2 linked regions of the Cricetulus griseus genome follow. The protein of the gene in region 2 purifies or fractionates together with the protein of the main gene of each other region. This does not show direct contact. Links are inferred from orthologs where the notes say so. Each region holds a gene or a part of one and is shown on either strand. Other genes may lie near its edges.

Region 1 (4,245 bases), about 230 Mb from region 2:
TACTATTTCTTTTAGCTTCCAAGTCATGTAGAAACAAATATTAGCAATACAGTATAGACTTCAAGGAGGCATTATTATTTCTACAGCTTTCTTTTAAAAATTCTTGAGATAAGATTTCATTCTATAGCCCAGACCAGCACAGACATCACTATGTAGAGCTGTCAGCAAACAATCCTCCCGCCCCAGCCTTCCTTCCAAGCATTAGGATGACAGGCATGAGCGACCATGCCAGACTAAAATTCTCTTTTTATGTTCTGATACTAACTTTGCATATCAGTATCCGGGTCGCTCATTCATTTCAGGAAAAGGCAACCACAATACAATTTCCACTGTCAAAAATAACACATTCCAAAAAATACTGGAAATACCAAAACCCATCATGATCTACCTAGTCCCTCTAGAAAGGACAAAAATATAGTTTCTATAAACTCTAACAGAGAAAACAAGTCAGGTATTCAATTTTCCTAGAAAGAGGCTATGAAGCATAGATTTTGGGAGGAAAAAGTTTGCTCATGACACCTAAATTAATACATTTGAGTAGCTATCGTAGAGGGGGAAACAGTAAGCTATAGATACCTGAGAGAAAGGCCTAGTGGTGTATAGGCCTCTAATTCTAGCAACTCTGGAGGCGGAGACAGTAGGACAGAAAGTTGAGGGCCTGTCTGGTGACTTCATGAAACAGTTTTGTTTTGTTTTTTAAAGGGTGGTGGTGGTGGTGGTGGTGGTACTGGAATTATAGCTCTGTTGTAGTGTTTTGCTAGCATGTACAAGGCTCTCAGTTCAATTCCAGATCCCATTTAGTATTAAAGTCTGCTCTTGGAGCAATTTAAACAAGTTGGGAGAAATGGGGTACACTGCATTTTTATGTGACAGGAATTGCATGAAACAGTGAGAACAGAGCTTCTATTCTTCATTTATCTCAGTTATTGAGCATCTACTATGAGTCAGATGCTGGGGTAGAAAAGCACCTGGAAAATGTCCCAAATTCAGCTTATACAAGGGGAGGGGAACACATATTTCAAGGATGAGACACACAACTGCCTGAACAAAGATACTAAACTATTATAGGCAGGGTATTGCTTATATAAGTGTGGAAGGTTTGTGGGGGACACCTCCAGGAATTCAGGAAGGGAATGTCAGAACTTTAGATAGTGAGCTGAGTCCTTGAAGAGGATTAGATATTCACCTGGGCAACCTTGGGGCAAAGGCTCCTAGAAGCAAGATCACCTGGAGTGAAGACGAAATTGTCAGAATTGTCAACAGCCTGGTTTGGTAAGCTTGAAATGTAGAGGCTACAATGAAGACTGGACTAATGTGCATGGAAGACCCCTGAAGAGGGTCAGAAAATCAGCGTATGTGATCACATGATGGGAAACTGGTTTACACAGAATTGAGAAAGGAAAACACAAAACTAGATAATGATGTCACCACATAAAAAACAAAGGAGACTGCCAAGTTAGAAAACCCACCTCTCTCCAGGAAAATACTGAAGAATTGCATTCAAGCCCACCTGGGAGTTTACTCAGTTATCACTGAGAAAGACTCATTCAAGAGTCTTGATAAAGAGAAGGCCTTAAGTAACAGATGTCTGAAAGGTCTCTAAAGTTCAAGATAATCAAGGTTTTATTAAATCAACTTACTTAAAAGGTGTGTCACAGGGGTGGAGCAAAAACAGGAGGAGCTTAAAATTTACCACGTATGTATATATAAACAAGTAACTCTTTATGAAGCTGAGGCTAAAATTCCCACTTGGAATTCTACCTCCCCAAGTAGATGGTAAAAAGACATTCTCCCGAACCAATTAACAAAGATAGGGTGGGAGTAGGGAGGACTATAAACGAAAACACAATTATAAAGGGGGGGGGGTGACAACCTACCCACAACCCATAATCCTGTTGGCAGTCTGTTGAGGAAATCACACAACTCAAGACATAAAGGCAGGAAAACCATGTCATCCTTAACTCTACAAGCTAACTACCAGACACTAGCCAAGGGGATATGATCACATAGTTTGATTCCTGAACTCAAGGACAGAACACCGTCCCCAAACGGTGCCCAAGGGGAAGGCAAGAAGGATCCTTCTCTAGTCGGGGACTGGGCAGCAGACACCCTCAAGACCAGCCCCGAAGGGGTCAACGCCCCCCGAGGCCAGGCCGTGGAGGCCAAGGGCAGAGGGCCCGAGCCACCTCTCCTCTCACGCCAACACACACCCTCCCGTACCTGATATGGCGGCGGCGGCTCCTGATCTGGCTCCGTCCCCTCGCCAAAGCTAGCCCGGTCGGACTGAGACTCGTGAAGCAGGGAGATGTCATCCGAGGTCGGGGATTTGAGGCAGTTCCCCATCTTCCGGGGCTGAGGTGTGTGCGTGAGATCTGGGGGAGGAAGAAAGCTGTGACCCGGTCTCCCGCACACTCAGCGGTGAGCTCGCCCGGCGCCGCGGGGTCCAAGGCGGCAGGCCCGGGGCTCAGGAGGCGGCTCCCCCGCGCCCCGGCGCCGCCGAGGGGCCACTCATGCCAGCCCCCGGGGCAGGGGGCGCGAGGCTAGGCCGCGGGCTGCGCCGGGGTCGCGCCGGGAGCCTGAGGGGGGCGGGGGCGGGGAGACGGAGCGCTTCCCCCACCCCGCCCCCCGCGAGGCGGCGGCGGCCACGGGGCTGCTGGGCCTAATCCAGGTCAGGAGGGGGGGGCGCGGCCGTCCCGGCTGCCTCAGCTGCTGCCTCAGCGGCTGTTGCCCCTGCCGACGCTGGAGCCGCGGCCTGGGGCCTCATCCTACTCCGCCTTAGCGCGGCGGCGGCAGCCAGAACGAGGCCAGCCGGGCCTACGTCACGCCGCCGTGCGTGCTCTGGCCCCGCCTCGGGCTCCTTGCTCCCCGCCCCCTGCGTGGTGCTGAGTTTAAGGTGCTGACTGTGTGTCCGTCAGTCTCGGGCGCCCCTCTGTATCCCGGCTGCACCCTGCCGGCTCGCGGCGTGAGGCTGGTCCCTTACCTGCGCAGCGTCCTCAAAGACTGTTCACTCTGTCTGCGAGGTGATGTTTATATGCCCGCATGTGAATGGATTAGGCAGATAGCTGAGGTGTTTAAACAGCTTCTTCTTTATCCTTTCAGAATAAAGTCCACACTTAATGCCACGCCCTGTGTTTCCTATCTCTGTTCTACCCTCCCGGCATCACACAGCTAAGAGATTATCAGATTGTTTCATTTCTTTCCAGTCCCACCACCCCTCAATCTAACGTTTGCAGTCGATTGATTCTCAGTCTCCCTGCATTCATCATTGCCCCCCCCAACCCTTTGAATGGTTGAGGATTTTTGTTTTTTAATGCCATATAGTTGCACTTAAAATTTCTAGTAGCTTCTCAGTACTTCCCACAGAATAATCTTAAGAAATCTGGATCTCCACGGTACACACCTTTAATCCCAACACTCGGGATGCAGAGACAGGCAGATCTCTTGAGTTCAAGGCCATCCTAGTTTACAGAGTGAGCTCTAGAACAGCCAGAGCTACACAGACAAACCATGTCTTGAAAAAAAAAAAAAAGACACCCAACAGCAGGGCGTTGGTGGGGCACGCCTTTAATCCCAGCACTAGGGAGGCAGAGGCAGGTGGATCTATGTGAATTCAAGGCCAGACTAGTCTCCAGAGCGAGTGCCAGGATAAGCTCCAAAGCTACACAGAAACACCCAGTCTCCAAACAAACAAACAAACAAACGCCTATTTTATTAGCAGTACTGTCCCCGTTTCATAAATTCTCAACTCCAACATGGCCAAAGTGCTTTTAGTTATCTCAAAGACTGTTCCCTAAGGCTGGGATTTCCACAGACAGACCCTACTTCTGACCTTCTACCCCTCATTGGGCTAATCATTATTCCCAAAAGTCCTTCCTGGATTCATTTTTGTTTGGCTAGGGAAGCTTTTTCTGACCCTCCAGTCTGGGTTAGTCTCCTCCTCGGAGTTTCCAGTCCCTGTGCCTTTCTGTGAGGTGGATCAAGCTGAATGATCTGTCCCTTCCCTGTGTAGGCCTGGCATGCTGCCTAAGGTAGACTCTTTTCCTTGGTTGAATGAACAAATAAATGGTCAAAGAGCATATGCAAAGAAAAGAAAGGAAAAGAAGACAGATGAGGCTGTTCTCCACAGTCATTCCTTCAACAAGAAGGCAAGAGGTTGACTTTGATCGGTTTTTATTCACCATTTACTGACTTATTATTATTCTTATTGTCAGGCCTGATGCCAGCACAACTGATTTATAAAACCTG
Region 2 (4,050 bases):
ATGGATGGATGGATGGATGGATGGATGGAGTAATGACAACATGAAAGAGATCCTTGCTACATCACCAAGGAGATGTAAATGTGATATTTATAGTTTTATCTCATCCCTACAGTGTTTTTGCCTAATTCCAGTTGCAAGAAATAACTGGCATCACACAAGAGAATGAGTTCTAGGCCTTAGCTAGCATTTAGATTAAGAATTCTAATGCAAATCCCTAGTAACAACCCTCTCTTTCAAGCTAGGCACAAAAATTTAGACCATTTTATCAGGCATAAGAGAATCTGGACCCACACGGGAGTGGCTTCTCTAATCTCTAGCTTTCTTCTTCTTGCATAGTCACCACACCGTTTTTTACCTGGTGGGTTTGCCTTGGCAGATAGCATGATGCCTGATGGAATTAAGCTTCACCATGAAACTCTTTAGGTGCTCTATGCCATTGTTGTCGTCTAGGAAATCAGGTTGTGTGGCCAAGTACCCTATTAAGGGTCCATGGGGACAGTGAAGCAGAACTGGCTCAGCATTGCTCCACTCTGGAAGGATGTCCCTGTGCATCAGTACACAGCCTTGCACAACTGGCTTGAGTAGTCATGTGGCTACTCATCATTGTCCTGAGTGGCAGCCTGGCCAAGATGCTTTTCCTATTTGCTTCTATATTTCATTTTCTCCATCGTTGCTTGTGCTTGGTCTTCTAGGTGAAGGATGAGGAAGGGGCGGTGTCTTAGGCATTGGTACCTGCATGTCAGCAATAAGAGTTTGTTGTCAGTTGAGTTGAAATCACGGGGCAATCTGGTGTCTTGTTTTTTCTGGGAGGTGTGGTGTACCTCATTATTACTCTGCTTTTTTGTCTCATGTTATGAAGTTCAGTGGCAGGGCTCTGAAGTAGAGCTGACATTTGCTCTTAAGATTGCAAAGCATCTTGCCAAAAAAGGCTTTATTTTGTTGTTAGTTATAAAACAATCTGGTGTTGACTCTTTATAAATATCATAAACTCCTGAACCAAGTATGTATTACTTTTCTTTGGGGGCCAGTACCATAGAGGAAATACCAGGCAGCAGCTAAATGCCACATGGGATTTCCATCAAATATTTGCTGCCTTTGTAGCATCAAGTAGGGGATGTTTGAGTGACCTGGATCTAGGTTCTGCTCAAGAGCAAGGACAGAATGGTGGTGGTCTTAGGTGGTGGACTTAGGACTCTGGTGAGCACTGTACTGACATTCAGAGGTCCTGGGTGACATCCAATGGATCTAAGGTTGGCTTTGTGGAGCAGGACCTGTCACTGACAGACAGACTTGGCTCCCTGACAAACTACTGAAAGCATGGGTTATTCCCCTCCTCCTCATTACCCACGCTCCGCCTCCCTTCTCTTGTTTAGACTAATCTTTAAAAGTGATGTAACTTAAAACAGTCCAGTGTGAGTTAATCTGCAGGGCCAGCTAGTATCCTAGGAGTAGAGGTGACTAAGATCTTTTACCTACAGATTAGAATAATGACAAGATCAAACACTGGGGTTTCTTGCCGACAGGTACATGGGAACAATGTTCAAGGCAGGCTAACGGAACGGGCTTTTCCCCTTCCTCTTCAGGCCTTGTTGAGGAGAACCATGGCTGAACAACTCCTTCCTCAGGCTTTGTACTTGAGCAATATGAGGAAAGCTGTGAAGATAAGAGAGAGAACTCCAGAAGATATTTTCAAACCTACCAATGGGATCATTCATCATTTTAAAACCATGCACCGATACACACTGGAGATGTTCAGAATGTGTCAGTTTTGCCCACAGTTTCGGGAGACCATCCACAAGGCACTCATTGACAGAAGCGTCCAGGCTTCCTTGGAAAACCAGAAGAAGCTCAATTGGTGTCGAGAAGTCCGGAAGCTCGTGGCTCTGAAAACCAATGGTAAGGCTTGTTCTTTTCTCCCAGCACCCTTCTACTGACCTGGGGGCGGGGGGGGGGGAGGTGTTTCTGCTAATGCTTCTCCATGAAGTTTTAATGCCATTAAGCAGACACCTATAGAAAGACCCTCCATAAGGGAAAGGTGATGGTCATGAATGTATTTGAGTCTGCTGCTGGGACAGGATTTCATTGTATAACTCAGGCTGGTTTTGGACTTGTGATCTTTCTGCTTCCAACTTCCGAGTGCTGGAATGGCAAGTGTGCATCTTTATATCCAGTTGGTGAATATTTCTATTTAAGGTGTTTTTAAGGTGTTTTCTGAGAGAGAGAGGGAGAGAGAGAGAGAGAGAGGGAGAGAGAGAAAGAGAGAGAGAGAGAGAGAAAGAGAGAGAGAGAGAGAGAGAGAGAGAGAGAGAGAGAGAGAGAGTTACAGTATAGAGGACATGAAGACTTGTGGAATGCATTTCTAAACCCCATTGCCCCAGTTGGGAGATTAATCTTCCTAATGCTTACATTGGCCAAATCATCTATAACCTTCACTGGCCAGAATGGAAAGGATTTAAAAGGTTTTAAGTTCAAAAGGAAAGTAGAACACTGAGAACCAGTGTCACAGTTGTTTGCCGCTGTCATTAGAAAAAACGCTTATGATGCTCTTGCTCTTCCTGAGTTGATGGCATTTTCTAGACTTGCAAACAAGTGGGTGTTAAGGACAGGGGATGCTTTTGTTTCTACTTCTCTCACCTAGGTTCTGTTGCCTAAGATAATGAGAGACAGAACTTCTCTACACACTGCTCTTGGCATTCAATCAACTGAAGTCCTTTACCTCTGATAACTCTTTTCTATGTCAAGTTTTACTGTCTTGTATTTTTTTTCCAAATCACATCCTTTGAGAAAGATTATGTACATGGTGCAGAAACAGCCAATGATATTGTTTCATGCAGTTACAGAAATTCTGCCTTTAGGGCATAGACATTTATTATAAGAATGGAGATTGTGTGAGATCAATTAAATACTTACAGTGTTGGTAAGAGTACAATCTCATTTTCTTGTATCAGTAACTGCATTCTGTGGGTCAAAATAATACATCCAAGAGGAGAAAATCCCTGTTGGCAATGATGGTGCTAGGAACGTTAACTTAATAACTTAATTGGTACATTAACTTCGGCTGTTCTTGACTTGAGTAACTTGGTGATGGGTTGATGTGGGCTTTTGTTTGTTTTGATTCCGGGGACTCTTGTATATCACCTCTACATCTTCCCTATATTTATGAAGCTTAGACTCTTAGAAATAGAGTCAAAAGAAAACTGGAGACAGTGATTATCTACATTGTTCTTGGCATTAAGTCAAGTGATGCCTCGAAGTAGATAATTATGTTAACTTGTCATCAAGGGGCTTATATACCTGACAGTTTGTGGTTTTCACCATGTCCCATTCTGTTACCGAAAGAGAGATGGAGTTGAGAGAATTAGAAATGGGATAGAGAAAGAAAAGCCTTATCTTGCTTACCATTCAGAATACTAGCAGACATTATATAGTATTTCCTTAACAGAGGAAATATCTGATTTCCTGGAGGAGAAAAAAAGCAATATAAATGCTAAACATTTCCTTTGCCATTTAAATCAAAAAGGGTTCATGCTACTGCTAAAACTACAAAAGCAAAGGCATTTTGGTAACATGTTGGGAAAATGTGGATTTGGGGTCCCAGAATCCTAAATTTTCTGCTTTGAAGAAAAGTTCTTAAAGTTATGCAAAAGAAAGAAAAGACCTTTGGGCGGGGGTGGGGGTGGGGTGGTGGTGGCAAGTGGCTTTCTTAGCATCTTTTCTTTCCTTTTACAAACCTGGCCCCTTTGGAAGGTTCCTTCACAGGCGGTCTATTTGGGGAGGGGGTGATTCAGGAGTCTGCATTTGAGGATATGAGACTGTGGTGAATGAGGAAGGGAGTAGGTGGCATAAAATTGAAACTTCATGAAAATTCCAGCGTCTATTGGCTGTGGCAATTTCACTTGTATAGTGAGTAGCCGGGTTCCAGCTCAGCCTGACCACACCCACTTGGAAAGTCCAGGGTGCAGTTCGCAGTTTAAATGTCTACACACCAGAACAAAACGTACAACAACTGTTGCTCAATTGCTAGTCAAATATCTTCGCACTGGGGAATTC

Evidence for each region.
Region 1: the proteins of Tnfaip3 (region 2) and Rnf11 purify together in Homo sapiens (affinity purification with western blotting; 3 studies listed by BioGRID and IntAct, with this or other methods). This does not show direct contact. The link is inferred for Cricetulus griseus from reciprocal best matches to the Homo sapiens genes TNFAIP3 and RNF11.

The regions. Positions count from the first base shown.
Region 1 is NC_048595.1:40,350,283-40,354,527, reverse strand, and holds the start of Rnf11 (RING finger protein 11), read right to left. Parts: upstream 2,801-4,245; 5' UTR 2,344-2,800; coding exon 2,221-2,343; intron 1-2,220. UniProt on the Homo sapiens protein: Essential component of a ubiquitin-editing protein complex, comprising also TNFAIP3, ITCH and TAX1BP1, that ensures the transient nature of inflammatory signaling pathways. Promotes the association of TNFAIP3 to RIPK1 after TNF stimulation.
Region 2 is NC_048595.1:270,723,894-270,727,943, forward strand, and holds the start of Tnfaip3 (tumor necrosis factor alpha-induced protein 3), read left to right. Parts: upstream 1-1,250; 5' UTR 1,251-1,487; coding exon 1,488-1,896; intron 1,897-4,050. UniProt on the Homo sapiens protein: Ubiquitin-editing enzyme that contains both ubiquitin ligase and deubiquitinase activities.